Linked DNA regions of Tamandua tetradactyla. The protein of the gene in region 2 purifies or fractionates together with the protein of the main gene of each other region. This does not show direct contact. Links are inferred from orthologs where the notes say so. Each region holds a gene or a part of one and is shown on either strand. Other genes may lie near its edges.

What was found.
Region 1: the proteins of LLGL2 (region 2) and DCAF1 purify together in Homo sapiens (co-immunoprecipitation; 3 studies listed by BioGRID and IntAct, counting the BioPlex papers as one, with this or other methods). This does not show direct contact. The link is inferred for Tamandua tetradactyla from reciprocal best matches to the Homo sapiens genes LLGL2 and DCAF1.

Annotation. Positions count from the first base shown.
Region 1 is NC_135341.1:34,577,372-34,585,309, reverse strand, and holds the start of DCAF1 (DDB1- and CUL4-associated factor 1), read right to left. Parts: upstream 3,003-7,938; 5' UTR 2,896-3,002; intron 2,799-2,895; exon of another isoform or gene 2,748-2,798; intron 1-2,747. UniProt on the Homo sapiens protein: Acts both as a substrate recognition component of E3 ubiquitin-protein ligase complexes and as an atypical serine/threonine-protein kinase, playing key roles in various processes such as cell cycle, telomerase regulation and histone modification.
Region 2 is NC_135332.1:15,925,642-15,932,891, forward strand, and holds the start of LLGL2 (LLGL scribble cell polarity complex component 2), read left to right. Parts: upstream 1-4,240; 5' UTR 4,241-4,452; intron 4,453-4,710; exon of another isoform or gene 4,711-4,834; intron 4,835-5,330; exon of another isoform or gene 5,331-5,647; intron 5,648-5,683; exon of another isoform or gene 5,684-5,899; intron 5,900-7,250. Other genes in the region: TSEN54 (tRNA-splicing endonuclease subunit Sen54), read left to right, coding at 606-707, 933-1,576, 2,189-2,249, 2,613-2,729, 3,149-3,299. UniProt on the Homo sapiens protein: Part of a complex with GPSM2/LGN, PRKCI/aPKC and PARD6B/Par-6, which may ensure the correct organization and orientation of bipolar spindles for normal cell division.

The DNA.
Region 1 (7,938 bases), on a different chromosome or scaffold from region 2:
CCTTGGTCTCTTTGATAGAACTACTCTAGACTCTGCCCTGCCCTGCCTCCCCATTACCCCATTACCACATTCCACCTCCCACCCCAACCTGAGAAAGAAGCTGAAAGGTCAAGGATCTGCTGAGCAACAGAGAAAGTACAAGAGTGGCCCAGCCCTGGTCCCAAGCACCAAGGGCCACAGACTCAGACACCCTCCCGCTGCCCCTGCCCCTAATCATGCAAACTCCTTGGAGCAGGAAAATTGCCAAATCCTCTGGGCCCTGAATATTTCCTCCATCACCCCCCCCCCCCCATCACCCACCCCTTCTCTCCCAATACTTTCTAGCTCAACCGATTAGGTACTCCCACCAGCCCATCCCCACCCTGGTACTGCCCCCATAACCATGTGATTCCTCCCACAATTATCTGGGACTGGGAGGTGAGGCAGGCTATCTCACAACCATTCCTGTTCTCCTGTTAGCTGGACAAGACTGCTGGGTTACCTAGGAATATTACAGGAGTCACTAAGAAGAGGCTCGGGGTTGTCAGCCTCTGGGAACCTCAGCCTGGCCAGAGAAATCCCTGTCCTTCAGCTGGTGTCCTGTCCCTACCACATTCTCCAAGAGAAATGCAAAGCAACCTTTCATCTGAATCCCACATCCACCACTCTCATTTTACAGAGAGAGAAACTGAGGCTTCACTAAGGCAAAAATTTAAGCTCCCACCCTGTCCAGTGGCCATAGCAGCTGCAGTCTCCAGGAGTCAGTCCTCACATCCTGCCCCCACAGGTACTACTTCATAGAGGTACCTGAGACTCAAGTGGGAAATGAATAAGCAACTCCTCTTCCCTCCCCAGATCCAACATATGGGCCCCAGCCAGAGCAAGGAGCCCCCAGAGGACACCATACAATATTTATGACATATTTGTGTTTTTTAAATTATTGTTTACCTAAAATCCAACAAACTGGACATCCTGTATTTTATCTAGCAACCATACCCCAGAGCCATTGCACAACCACAGACCCCCAAGTATTTCCCTCCCATGGCCCCCAGGGCCTTACTTTAATTATCTGCAAAATTGTAAGAAGCATATCAGAACAGCCACCTCTGGTGGATCTCATTCAAGATTAGACAGGTCCAAGGATCCAAGGATGGCTTATCCTAAAGCCAATGATCTGGGAGATAGCAGACTCAAATTCCTTCCTTTCACCCTTCTCTCTTTAACCCTATCATTAATGGTCAGGAATGAGAAAATAGAGTAGTTTCTTTTCTTCTTTAGTGAGGAGGGTTTGTACTAGGAGAAAGTTCAGCAGTTGAGTACAGCTTTGGAGGCAAACAAATTTGAGTCCCAATTCTGTCACCCCCATTTATCAGTTGTGGAACCTCAGCTCAGTTGCTTCATCTCACTTGCACTTCAGTTTCCCTGGCTGGAAAATGGAAATAATACCTTCTTTCCAATGATATTGTAAGGGTTAAATATGATAATGCATGTAAAGTGCTAAGCGTGGGGCCTGGTGCACAGTAAGTGCTGGATAAGTAATGGCTATTCTGATTTTGATTATCATCAGTCTGTACCTGTCCCAGTTGGAGTTCCCCAGGTCAACCTTAGCCCTGGCTGATTTCTCTTTGCCCTCAAGGTTGCCTGTTGGAAGAACTCAGGCTCTCTATATTAAAATGAGGAACATGTTCCTTATAAGAAATAATCCCAAGGCACCTTTTTAGGAGCACTGGAAAGTAGTGGAATATCCATTCTTGAGGGTCACCTGGCCACTCTCCATTCCAGGAGAGAAATGAAAATGAGTTCATCAAAGGGTAAAGGTTGGAAGCTCTACTTCTGGCTTCCTCATGCCTGCAAGGACTACAGTTGATTGAGGGTAAAGGGCAGTCAAGGTGAAAAAATCCCTTGGATGTGAAGTCAGACATGTCACCATCCCCCACCAGCTCATCACTTATGCCCCTCTGCTGGGATGAAGTCTGCATCTGGAACCTTTGCCCAGAGTGCACTCCCCTACTTCTCTTGGGATCTCTGGTAAGATGGTGATATTACAGTCAAAATAGAGGCCAAAGCAGGAAGCTGGAGTGGGTGGTGAAGATGATATACCAGGTCCTTCCAATGGGCCTGCCCAGCACAAAGCAGGGGCTGACGCAGGAAGAGGGCCAAACTCTGGGCTCCAGATACTCCCAGGGCAGGTCGGATCCCCCAGCCTAACTACCAAGATGATAGCCTATCATTTCTGCTCTTCCTGAGGCCCTACCCTTCGCAGAGGGCACGTACCAGGAATGGCTTGGAAGTTAAGGAGTGGTTGCAGGGCACTTAAGGAGGAAGCAACAGTCAGAGGTATCCTGAATTTCCTCATGCCAGTGTACCCCTACCTTCTTTTGCCCAGGGTAATTTATAATCCCCAGGTTCAAGAGATTATAAATCCTTTTGGGAGGAAATGAAGGTGGAGTCAGCCTTAGGAAAGATTCTGGTATCTCGGCCTTGCCTCCAACATACCAGAAGCCCCTGTTTTTTTGGCGATATCTATTTTTGTAGCTGTTGAGTCCTTTGTAGAAGATTCAGGGAGATGTGGCCTGACCCATTCAGAGGTACTCTAGAGATCGCTAGGGCAGACCCTGGTGGAGACACAGGTCAGATAAAGCCTCCTACTCTATCAGTTACTTTACTTCTAAAGTATCTACAGAAGAATGGCTTTGTCTAATGGACAAACATGGGAATGACTCAATTAGGAAGTCCAAGGCCCTCTACCATCACCTGGAGTAACCCACCTTCTGCTCCTCCTCAAGCCTGACTGCCACATGCTAGGATCCCTGAGAGGTGTTGCCAGATATAACCAAGAATACCCAGTTAGGCTTGGGATCCCAAGTCATTAAGAAGAGATATCTCTAGGTATGGAAAGATATCCTGGGGTCTTACCATGGGGCAATTCCTCTACATTCCCTCAGAGGTAGGGGTGTCTCTCTATGAAATTCCCATGATGTTTCCAGGGGACAGCCGTTTGTCAAGCTCCTACTTCATCAGACTCAGACTTGTCACAAAGACAGCCTTTTATGAAGTCACAACCCAGCCCCCTCCCCACAGGACCAGGGACCAGGACAACCAGGGACCAGTAGGCAAGGGAAGGGTTCAGGAGCTGCCTTTGGACTTTGGAGATGGATGTAAGGTCTGGAAGAGCTCACTGGATCTCTCTAACCCCACGCTGTAGGGAGTGGAAGAAGAGGAGGAACTTTCAGGGACCTGGAGATGAGAAGAGTTTCTCAGGTCTCAGTCACTGCCAGGAGGTGAGAACAAATGGGGCCTACAGCTTTGGTTCTTGATGTCTTGCCTGTCCCTTGTCATCTGGCGGGGGGGGTGGGGGGGTGGGAGAGTGGGAATAGGACCCCTACCCTGACTAAGTAAAGATAAGTGTCCTCATCACTGATGTTCTAAGTGTTTCACAGCAAAGGGATTAAGACTCTGAGGCAAGGACTAGATCATGCCCTTACTGTCATCTATCCATGATCAACCACCTGAATATTCCACTTGGTGTCCAGGGCAAGCGCATGCTATCAAATTCTGCTGCATTGACAAGTAGACTTGATGACCTTGAGGCTGGGCCACCCAAAGGGAGAAGAATGTCAAAAGAAGAAACTGGGAGTGCCAAGCACCCACTCTTCCCAGAGTGTAGAGATTCCCTCCTCCCAGAGCCAATCTAGGGGTAAAAAGGAGGGAGGAGAAAGCTTCACACCATCAAGTGTAGAACGTCGGTTGCCACTGTGGATGATCACAGTTTAGGGGGGTAGAGGAGGGATAGAAAGAGCCACTTGTTGGAAGCCTTATTTTAAAAATAAATGGGGGGGGGGGGGTGCAAGGGTAGTTCAGTGGTAGAATTCTTGCCTGCCATCCAGGAGACCCAGGTTTGATTCCCATCCCATGTAATTCCCAAACAAGCTAGGAAACCAACAAAAACAAACAAACAAAAATTCAACAAAATGGTGCTGCAATAATAGGATACTCACATGGAAAAAGAATGAAATATGACCCTGCCATATAGCATACAAAAGAAAGAAAGAAAAAAATAAATGAGGAAAATTGTGTTTCAAGTTAAGGATTCTAGCATTCCTGCTCTGTGCCTGACCCTGTGCCCACTGGACTCTGTGCCCACGAGGACACTACACCAAGGAATTCACAAGCTCTGCCCTCAAGGGAACCACAGTCTAGGGAGTGAGTGGCTATGCCTAGCTGTCTCCCTTAAAGAGAAGGCTGCTGTCCCATGAAGTGGTCAGGTAGCTGGAACCCAGGATCCACACTTCCCAGGCCAGGGCCCCAAATTTTTCTAAAGGTAAGAACAGTCTGGGATCTTGAGGACTTCTGGAAGTTGATCTGAGGTGTGTCCCACTGCTCTCAAAGTCTGCAGGTCTGGGGTCTTTGGATCGTTTATTCTGTTGACAGTGGCTTTTCCCCATGAGATCCCAGGCCAAAAAGACCTCAGTTTGCAGCTAGAGGCTCTTGGTCATATTGAGTGGCTGGTTCAAGCTATGCCTCCACAGAGACCTTCCTGCTGCCTGTTCTATGGGCCGGCAGAAGCATTGTCAGGGCAGACCTGGCCTAAAAGGCGGAAGACTAGAGATTGACCCTGGACAAGTTTCCCCATCCACCCACTATGAGGAGGGGAGTTTTACTGGATCTGTGGTTTTCAAGTTTCATTAGTATTATTTTACCACAGAATCTATCTTTTCCCCCATGAGATATTTTTGTCTTACACATTTTTCAAATTGTACTATTAACTATTGTCCATTATTTAACTTTGGGCTCACTGTTTGTGTTGTTTTTTTATTTTATTTTTTTTATTTCTATTCTAGTAACATATATGCAAACTAAAATTTCCCCTTTTAGTCACATTTAAATATATAATTTGATGCTGTTAATTACATTCACAACATTTATAGTACCATCACCACCATCCATTTCTAAAACTTTTCCATTGTCCTAAATAGAAACTCTGTACGTTTTGAACCTTAACCCCCTAGTCCCTACCTCAACCCTGTTCTCTGGTGACCTATATTGTGGATACTGACTCTGATTTTGCTTATTTTAATTCTTTCATTTCATTGAGATCATACAGTATTTGTCCTTCTGGCTTATTTCACTCAACATAATGTCTTCAGGGTTCATCACTGTTGTCACATGTATCAGAAATTCATCCCTTTTTATGGCTAAATAATACTCTGTTTTGGGTATACACCACACTTGGTTTATCCACTGGCTGATGGATTCTTAGGTTGCTTCCATTTTTGGGCAATCATGAATAATTTCACTTTGAACATTGGTGTGCAAATATCTCTAAGTCTCTGCTTTCAATTCTTTGGGGTACATACCTGGAAGTGGGATTTCTGGGTCATATGGTAATTCTATGCTTAACTTTTTGAGGAACTGCCAAACTGTCTTCCAAAGCAGCCGCACCATTTTACATTCACACCAGCGATGAGGGAGTGTTCCTATTTCTCTACATTCTCTCTAATGCTTGTAATTTTCTATTCTGTTCATGGTAGCCATTAGTGAGTGTGAAGTGGTATCTCATTGTGCTTTTTCTTTTTACATGGGCAGGCACCGGGAATCAAACCCAGGTCTCTGGCCTGGCAGGCGAGAACTCTGCCTGCTGAGCCACCGTGACCCTTCCTCTCATTATGCTTTTGATTTACATTTCCCTGATGGCTAATGATATTGAGCACATTTTCATGTCCTTTTTGGCCACTTGTATATCTTCTTTAAAGAAATATCTATTTGGGTCTTATGTCCATTTTTTAATTGGTTTTTTTTTTCTTGTTGAGTTGTAAAATCTATTTATATATTCTGGATATTAACCCTTTATTAGAAAGGTGATTTCCAAATATTTTTTCCCATTGTGTAGGTTGTCATTTTACTTTCATGATAAAGTCCTTTGAGGCACAAAAGTTTTTAATTTTACCTTATACCCAAAGCAAGAGCAATGAAGAAAGAAAGAAAGAAATGGGAACTCCTCAAAATTAAACACTTTTGCGCATCAAAGAACTTCATCAAGAAAGTAAAAAGACAGCTTACACAATGGGAGACAATGTTTGGAAATGACATATCAGATAAAGGTCTAGTGTCCAGAATTTATAAAGAGATTGTTCAACTTAACAACAAAAAGACAGCCAATCCAATTACAAAATGGGAAAAAGACTTGAACAGACACTTCTCAGAAGAGGAAATACAAATGGCCAAAAGGCACATGAAGAGATGCTCAACTTCCCTGGCCATGAGAGAAATGCAAATTAAAACCACAGTGAGATATCATTCACATTCACCAGAATGGCCATTATCAACAAAACAGAAAATGACAAGTGTTAGAGAGGATGTGGAGAAAGAGGCACACTTATTCACTGTTGGTGGGAATGTCAAATGGTGCAACCGCTGTGGAAGGCAGTTTGGCGGTTCCTCAAAAAGCTGAATATAGAATTGCCATATGACTCGGCAATACCATTGCTAGGTATCTACTTAAAGGACATAAGGGCAAAGACACAAACGGACATTTGCACACCAATATTTATAGCAGCATTATTTACAATTGCAAAGAGATGGAAACAGCCAAAATGTCCATCAACAGACGAGTGGCTAAACAAACTGTGGTATATACATACAATGGAATATTATGCAGCTTTAAGACAGAATAAGGTTACGAAGTATGTAACAACATGGATGAACCTTGAGAACATTATGCTGAGTGAGACTAGCCAAAAACAAAAGGACATGGTCTCACTGATATGAACTGACATTAGTGAATAAACTTGGAATATTTCGTTGGTAACAGAGACCATCAGGAGATAGAAATAGGGTAAGATATTGGGTAATTGGAGCTGAAGGGATACAGACTGCAACAGGACTGAATACAAAAACTCAGAAATGGACAACACAATACTACCTAACTGTAATACAATTATGTTAAAACACTGAATGAAGCTGCAGTTGAGAATGATAGAGGGAGGAGGGCTGGGGGCATAAATGAAATCAGAAAGAAAAATAGATGTTAAAGATCAAGATGGTATAATCTAGGAATGCCTAGAGTGTATAATAATAGTGACTAAATGTACAAATTTTGAAAATGTTTTTGTATGAGGGAGAACAAAGGAATGTCATTACTGCAGGGTGCTGAAAATAGATGGTTATTAATATTTTAAAATGTCACCTTATGTGTGAGACTTAAGCAAAAAATGTTTATTTGGTACAAAATTTATATTTTGACTAGTGCATTTCTTAATATAACTTATGTAGATAGTTTGATTGAACATCATAAGTACTTGGAATCTCAGGTAGGACATGAGATTTTGTTGGTTTGTCCAGAGTGATGCCCCGATGAATCCCAGAGTGATTCGATCAGTGAATGGGAAAGTATTTGCAACAAGCCCCCTTCAGGGAATGGTGAGAACAGGGAGAAATTCAACTTCCCCAGGTTGAGTTCTTGATATTCTCACAAGCAGTGTGGACAACCAAAGCTAGGCTGAACTCCCAGTCTTGGGGGTTGTTCATATGAAACTTAACCCCACAAAGGATAGGTCAAGTCTACTTAAAATTTAGGCCTAAGAGTCACCCCCAAGAGAGCCTCTTTTGTTGCTCAGATGTGGCCTCTCTCTCCAGCCAACACAACAACAATCTCACCACCCTCCCCCTGTCTACGTGGGACATGACTTCCAGGGGTGTGGGCCTTCCTGGCAAGGTGGAACAGGAATCCTAGAATGAGCTGAGACTCAGCATCAAGTGATTGAGAAAACCTTCTCGACCAAAAGGGGGAAGAGTGAAATGAGCAAAGTGTCAATGGCTGAGAGATTCCAAACAGAGTTGAGAGGTTATCCTGGAGGTTATTCTTACGCAGTAAGTAGATATCACCTTGTTATTCAAGATGTAATGGAGAGGCTGGAGGAAACTACCTGAAAATGTAGAGCTGTGTTCCAGTAGCCATGT
Region 2 (7,250 bases):
GTGGAAACTAGTACAGCCTTTGCAAGTTCACACTGGGTTGTAAAAGCTCTGAAACAGGCACATCCTTTAATTCCTGAGAGCAGAATACATCCTAGGAAAATAGGATGTGTGCAGAATGTTCAGTCATTCATTCATTCAACAAATATTTATTGAACACGTACTGTATGCTTAGATCCTATGCCAGGAGCTGAGGACATGGCAGAGAGCACAATCCTCTGCTCCCATGTAGCTTGCATTTAGTGGAAAGCTTACACAGAACAGCATCATTTTGCAAAATCAGTGAACTTGGAAACAACCTAGGAATCCAATAGTGGATACATAATGTAGAGTTTATCCCTTAGAGCAGCTCTGAGTAACAAAACTTTCGGTGATGGCCAATATATGTGATTTTTGCAACTATGGGATGGGATTTTTAGTTTTACTTTAATTGACTTAAATAGGCACTCATGGCTAGCAGGCTACCTTTATTGGAGAGCATATTTAGAAACATAAAAAATTGTGCCAGAGAAGAATGCAATAATGGAGAAGGAGCTGTGTTCACAGATTCTACGGGGAGCACCTAGCTGAGATGATGGCTCTCAGCCCGCCCCACTCTCACCCCACAGCTCCGTCCTGTCCCCTTACGAGAGGCAGCTCAACTTGGATGGCTGTGCCCAGCACCTGATGGATCAGGGGGGCAAGAGGAAGAGGAGGAACTCCAGTTCTTGGTAAAGCTCCCTGCCATAGACATGCTCTAGGGAGCTCTGCGGGTGCAGAGGCAGTGGGGCGTGCTGGCATCTGGAACCTTGGAGAATGCATGAGCTTAGGAGCTGGGCTAGTGTGGTTGCTACCTAGGCTCTGGGAGAAGTGGCACCCGTCCTCAGTGCAGCAGGATATATATGCTACAGCAGCCAGGAATCCATGTGTTGTCTTTCTTCATTCTACATCCTCAGGTCCACTCCTAAGAAGCCCAAGTCCCCAGAGACCCCCATGCAGGGAATGGATGGGACACCTGAGAGCCTGGCAACCTCAAGTTCACATCCCCGAAAACAGAACAGCCAATGCCTAGAGGAGATCCCCCAAGAGTCAAGCCTTGGAAAGGGCCCAGAGGGCCCCTGTCAGCTTCTGGAGTCCTTGGGACCCTTGCCTGGCCTGACCAGGGATGGGGTAGGGAACAGCCAGGAAAGTGGCAAAGTAGAGAATGGGGTCAAGGGGCCTTGTAAGCCACGCTGGAACTTTGAGCAGATCTCCTTCCCCAACATGGCCTCAGATAGCCGCCACACTCTCCTGCTTGCCCCAGCCCCAGAGCTGCTCCCGTCCAATGTTGCTGGACGGGAGACAGATGCTGCATCCTGGTGCCAGAAGCTGAACCAGCGAAAGGAGAAGCTATCCCGGCGGGAACAGGAGCTGCAGGCAGAGGCCCAGCACTTCCGGGAGGATGTAAACACGGACCCTGAGGTGCAGCGCTGTTCCAGCTGGCGGGAGTACAAGGAGCTGCTGCAGAGGCGGCACTTGCAGAGGGCCCAGAGCCACCCCCCACACCTGTGGGACCAGCCCGTCACCCCCTTGCTGAGCCCTGGCCAGGCCGACTCCCCAGGTACCCCTCACCTGCCACAGCTCCCTCAGCCCCCTGGCTAGCCCCTGGCAACTGAGGAGCCACAAGACTTGGCAGAGGTGCTTGGATTGACCAGGATTTTCTGGTCCAGCACAGGGAGTGCTGTCTGGTGGAGTGAAACCCACAAGGACTGCCAGTACTGTGGGGCAGCAGCAGAAGGGCCCACATGAAAAGGTTTAGAGATGAAAAGTCAGTGACCCAGAAGGGAGGAGGGGGTAAGACCAAGCCCTTAAAATCATAACATGACGTGGATGGCCTTGCCATCAACTAGCAACTGTCCCATTAGGTTGGAAGGAGGAGGGTCCCATCTCGGCCAGATGAAAAGCAGCCTTTCTGCTCTTGCTGTGAGCTTAGGGAACTCAGAGGGCAAGAACGGTCCAGGCTAAATGTATTAATGAACCCCAAACTCCTTAAACCCTTTATGGGGACCTGACAGATAAGTAAATTAGGGTTGCCAGATAAAATACACCTATCCTGTACTTTTATTTGCTAAATCTGACTGTCCTAAACTAGATGGTGGATCAGAAAGGTTAAGGGACTTTGCAAATGGCTGACCCTCTATCCCCCAACACCCTTTTCTCACTGTCCTTGTAGCCACTGCCCTCCAACATGTCTCTGTGCTACAGACTGCATGCCTTGCTGACGGAGGGGACCGGTGAGTTTCCACCAGCACCTGTCTTCACAGCACTTGAGCTGCCTGCAGGAGTTGGTGGCTGGGATTTGACTCCTGAAATTGGGTGCCAGCTAGGGGCTCATTCCAGGGGACCACACATGCCTATCCCTGAGCAGTGGCCAATGTCTGTGTGTGTCTAGGGGAGATGGAGGGGTGATAGACAAGAGATGGGTTTATCCCAGAGGTTCTGAGATGGAGCAGCCTAGACCACTCCCTATCTAACCCTCTCACAATTTGTACCTCACAGCCAGCTCTGTTTCCCTAGGTGCCTCCTAGAGCTGGTGGGGTAAAGGACAAGTGGGGGAGGAGAGTTCTCTTTCCTGAGGTTTCTCACTCTGTCTCCAGGCTGCTCAAGAAGTCTGGGGGCTTAGAGATAAGCTTCGATGTTTACCAGGCCGACGCTGTGGCCACTTTCCGGAAGAATAACCCTGGCCAGCCCTACGCCCGGATGTGCATCAGTGGGTATGAGACCGCTGCCCCCAGCTGCCCGGCTAATTTGCCAATCCCAGAGGAACCTGAGGTCCAGAGAGGTCTAGTGACCTACGTGACAGCACACAGCCAGTTAATGCTACTGGAACCTAAGTTTTCCAGTTGTTAGTTCTCATTCCTGGGATTCTGAGTGGTCTCTCTCCTGTACCATGTTAGTCCAGGGCTCCACAACAGAAGGGACAAGAATCAGGAGAATTTACAGACAGCTCACTCTTCCTAGCCTCCTTTCAACCAGCCCCTGGTCCTTTCTTAGAGAACTTTTCAAAGCTCAGTAATTTGCAGAGGAGAACCCAGGGGTCAGCGTTCTTAGACCCCCAACTCTTATCTTACAATCTCCCTTCCCTAGGAACCTCAGAGGGGCTAGGGTCTCAGTCTAAGTTTCATCCCTGCAGATTTGAGGAGCCGGTCCCAGACCTCTGCACCCTCAAGCGGTTATCCTACCAGAGTGGGGATGTCCCCCTGATCTTCGCCCTGGTAGATCACGGAGACATCTCCTTCTACAGCTTCAGGGACTTCACACTGCCCAGAGATCTGGGGCAGTGACCCCAAAGCTCCTCCTCAGTGGGGACCTGGACTCGATCTGCTCTCAGGGACTATCTCAGCTGCCTCCTGCACTCTGGCTCTGACCTGGGGCTGCAGGGGCCAATCTGAACCTTGACCCTGGGTATCTGATGCTGGCAGGAGACTGAAGCTGTGCCCACTCCCTGGCCACTGCAGTGCTTCCAAGCCCCAGACCTGAGATCAGGGCTGTCTTGCAGTGACCCCACTGGAACTCAGGACTAGATTTCAGAGACCAGCAAGGTGGGGCGGAAGAGCTGAGGCTGTGCCTTTAAACGACGGGGTGCCTGTTTCTTGCAATAAAAGCCAAAGCCATTATAAAATAGATTCCTGCCCCCCTCCCTGTTAAGGGCAAGTTGGATTTCCGCCGCCCGCCCCGCCCCTCCCCCCAGTCTGAAGGCGCTGGGTCAAGGCACTGGCTTCCTGACCCTTCTCGGCTGTTTCCCCCACCCCCCACCCTACTCAGAGAGTTGCTTTCTCTGTTGAGGGACCTGAGCCCTGCGGATGGTCAAGAACGCGCCCCTGCACCTTGCTGGAGGCCAGCGCCAGAGGGGAGGGGAGCCCAAACCTCCTGTCTGCTTGGGTTTCTGACAGAGTCCAAAGAGACACGCCAGGCCCCAGCAGACCTTTCCTGAGTAGCTGGGGTAGAAGGTCGGGGCAGAAGGGTGGCGGAGAGGCGCCGCGTCCGTGCGGCTCGAACCCCTCTCGCCCGAAGGGGCCTCGGGCCGGGCTGCCGCGTCCCCTGCGCTCTCGCCACTCCGGCCCCCTCGCATGTGCTGAGCCTCCCGCCGCTGCTCCCGGGGACCGGCCCCTGCCCACTTCGGCAGCAGGCTCGAAGGCGGGGCGTCCCGGGAAGGCCGCCGTGCGCTTGGAGCCCGCCCCGAGGGGAGGCGCCTCGCGGCGACGTCCCGATCCCCATATCCCCCTCTCCTGGGTTCCAAAACCTGGTCCCGCGTCCGCCGCTCGCCCTCTGGGCGGAGCCCGTGAGCCTCGGCCCCAGCTTCGGCAGCTCGGGGCCGGGTAGTGGGAGAACGAGCCGTCTTCTGGGGGCGGCTGCGCGGCCGGGGACTATTTCCTCCTGCGGGAGGCGGAGGGACACTGGGCGCGGCGCGGCATCCTGCGGCCCAGGTAGACGCAGGTGAGGCGAGGGGCGGGCCCTAGTGCCTCGTGCATATTCACGCGGGTCGCGGCCCCGCCCCGCTCTCTCAGAGCCTGCGGATTGGCCGGAGCGTTGCCCCCGGTCCCTGAGGGCGGCCTCGCCGCGCTCCCGCCCCGTCGGCGCCGGGCCGTGGGGGGCGGGGCCGGGCCGCGGGGGGCGGGCACTCGGGGTTCGGCGGGGCCCGGCTGGCCCGGCCTTTATGTAAATAGCGGCGGCTCCGCCCCGGGCTCGCGGCGCCTGAGGTGAGCAGGAAGGAGAAGGGCGCCCGGCAGCCTGTGGGCCCGCGCAGCGGAGCGAGCGGAGCGGGTGGCAGGCGCCCAGGGACGGCGAGGCCTCGGGCGGGGCCTGCCCGGGCTTCCAGGTGATGAGCTAGCCGGGACCCACCGAGCGGGGCCCGCCCCCTTGGGGCGCCCTGCCCTCGGGACGCCGGCGGGTGGGGGGTGGTCCCGAGACCCCTGGGCTTCCCCGGGCCGGGCGGGCAGGGCTGCGCCCGGGTCCAGCCGCTTTGCTCTTGTCCCTGTCCCGGCCTCTTTGGTCGCCTGGGAGAAAGTCACCTGTAGACAGTGCCGCTGCGAACCTTCCTGTCTGACCCGACTGCGATTACGGAACTTGGGTTTCGGGTTTGCACAATAGCGTGTGCCTTTGGGAGCCGGGAAGCAGGTGCCCGGCCCTGCTGGGTGCGGGGCGCACCGCGGGGGAGACGGGGCCCCGGGCCTCGCGCCTCACGTGCCCAGCGTCTGGCCGGGGGAGGCCGACGACGCGTCTCCGGTGGCCTGTCCCCGCGCGGCGGCCGGAGCGCGTTACATGAGCGGCTTAGCCCCTGCCATCTGGGGCCCCTCCCTCCCGGCCCTTTGTGCCTCCTAATCCCCGGACTCAGGAAGCCCGCGGGAGGGACTTGGGTCTTGGGGCCTATCTCCGCCCTGGGGCACCCTTAGGCGCCTGTACGGAGCCCCAGTTTGTTTTCCTCGACGGAACGCAGTTGGGGGTTGCGCTGCGGGACGTTCCGACTTGGCAAGGAGTGGAAAGTTTTGTCTGACCAACGAAAGTGTGCAAAGTTTGCTCCTGCTTTAATCCGGCTGCGCCGCTCGGGGATAGCCAGGGCCTTGGCTGTGGCTGAGCTGATGGTAACCCGGGGAGCCGCGGCGCGGCCCCCTGCGGCTCTCACCTGAGACAGGTGAGCTTGGAGTGCGCGTCTGGACTTGGACTCAGCGCCCTTTCTCCTCGGGAGGCCTGTGCCGCTGCACGGCTTCTTCATCTGGGCTCCTGGACCCCCTGCGGGAGCTGGCAACTCAGGGTGCTATCACTGCAGAGGGGAAGTGGGCCGGGAGGCAGTGGGCGTGTCAGGACCACATGGAAGCCGGGTAGGAAGAACCGAGAGGCCCGGCAACAGAGCTGTGACCCCGCGGAGGGGAAGCGGAGGTCACAGGTGAGTTTTGAAGAAGACAGTTTGGGTCTGTGAGCTGCGTTGTGAGAAGGGACTCTGGAGAGATGGACTGAATGGAAGGGGCATGCAGGTTTGGTTAGCCTAAGCTGTCTGCACCTGGTGGCAGCCAGGACTCAAACCCAGTTTTGGGGGCTCTGTCCAGGACTCTCACCTCTTCAGCAAAGTTAGACTGGGCCAGTTTTTTTTGGGGGGGCGGTGGCACTGGACAGCTGTTGCAGAGCTTGTGGGCACTCTGGGCCCTCTCTGTTGTTGGAGGCAGCAGAGTATAGCAGAAAGTTACCTGCCCCGCCTCCCACGCCCCCCCCCACTAGCTGCGAGTAATAGTTGTGTTTTTGAAAATAATACTTAGTAACTTGTAAAAATTGTGGTAAAATACACGTAACATAAAAATTACCATTCTGATCTCTTTAAAGTGGCCTTTTAATACATTCGTAATGTTGTGTAACCACCACCTCTAATTCCAGAATATTTTCATCATCCCCAAAACTTAGTAAAATTTTTGAGGAAAAACCGACCCATAATCCCAGATTATAAAAACAAAAAGTAGTTGAGGCACATGGTAGAGAAAACCAAACATTATAGGAAAGCATGAAATGAAAGAGGGAAAGTGTTCTCCCTCTTGCCTCCCAGTCTTTTCCCTCTAACAAAATATTAAGTTTTAAACAAATCTTTCCAGAAAGACATCAGGTATAATTTTGAATGGTGGCCTTGCCATTTTCTTACTGAATGACCTTGGCTCAGTCATTTAACTGGGCTGAGCCTCCGTGAACCCTGTTTTCTCAGATGTTGGCAGAGGACGCAAAGTGTCATGAATTTGCGTGGCCTGGCGCATAGCAGGCACCCGGTAAGGATGAGCGTCTCAGCTTCCCCATGAAGCATGCAAAGGGCCAGTCACCCTGCAGGCCTTTTGGAGGTGCCTGATGAGTGAGAGGGAATTTGGCTTCCCTCTCTGAGGAGTCAGCAGAGGTCACAATTTTGAGATCTTTTAAAGCCTCTGAAGGTCAGAACTTTTTTCATCAGGAAGGTGCTCCTCAGAAGCTGGGGAGAGGAGGTTGAGGGAGGTGGGAGTGGCCTCTCCTAGCCTCGCGTGATTTCCAGCGCCCTTGGCCTTTCACCTGCTCCTGGGGAAAGCCAGGGGTGAGCCCAGCTGCGGGCCTTCCCTGGGCTGGGGTGGGGGGTGGGGGCCTGGTGCCGAGCCTGCTCAGGCCAAGAGGAATTTGGCTGTGCGCACTCTGTTCACCCTTTGGGGGCATGGGATTGCAGATTCCTGTGCTTTCCTTGTCACCATCAGGATTTTCTAGGAATGCCATCGTGCCTGCTTTCAACCTCCTTT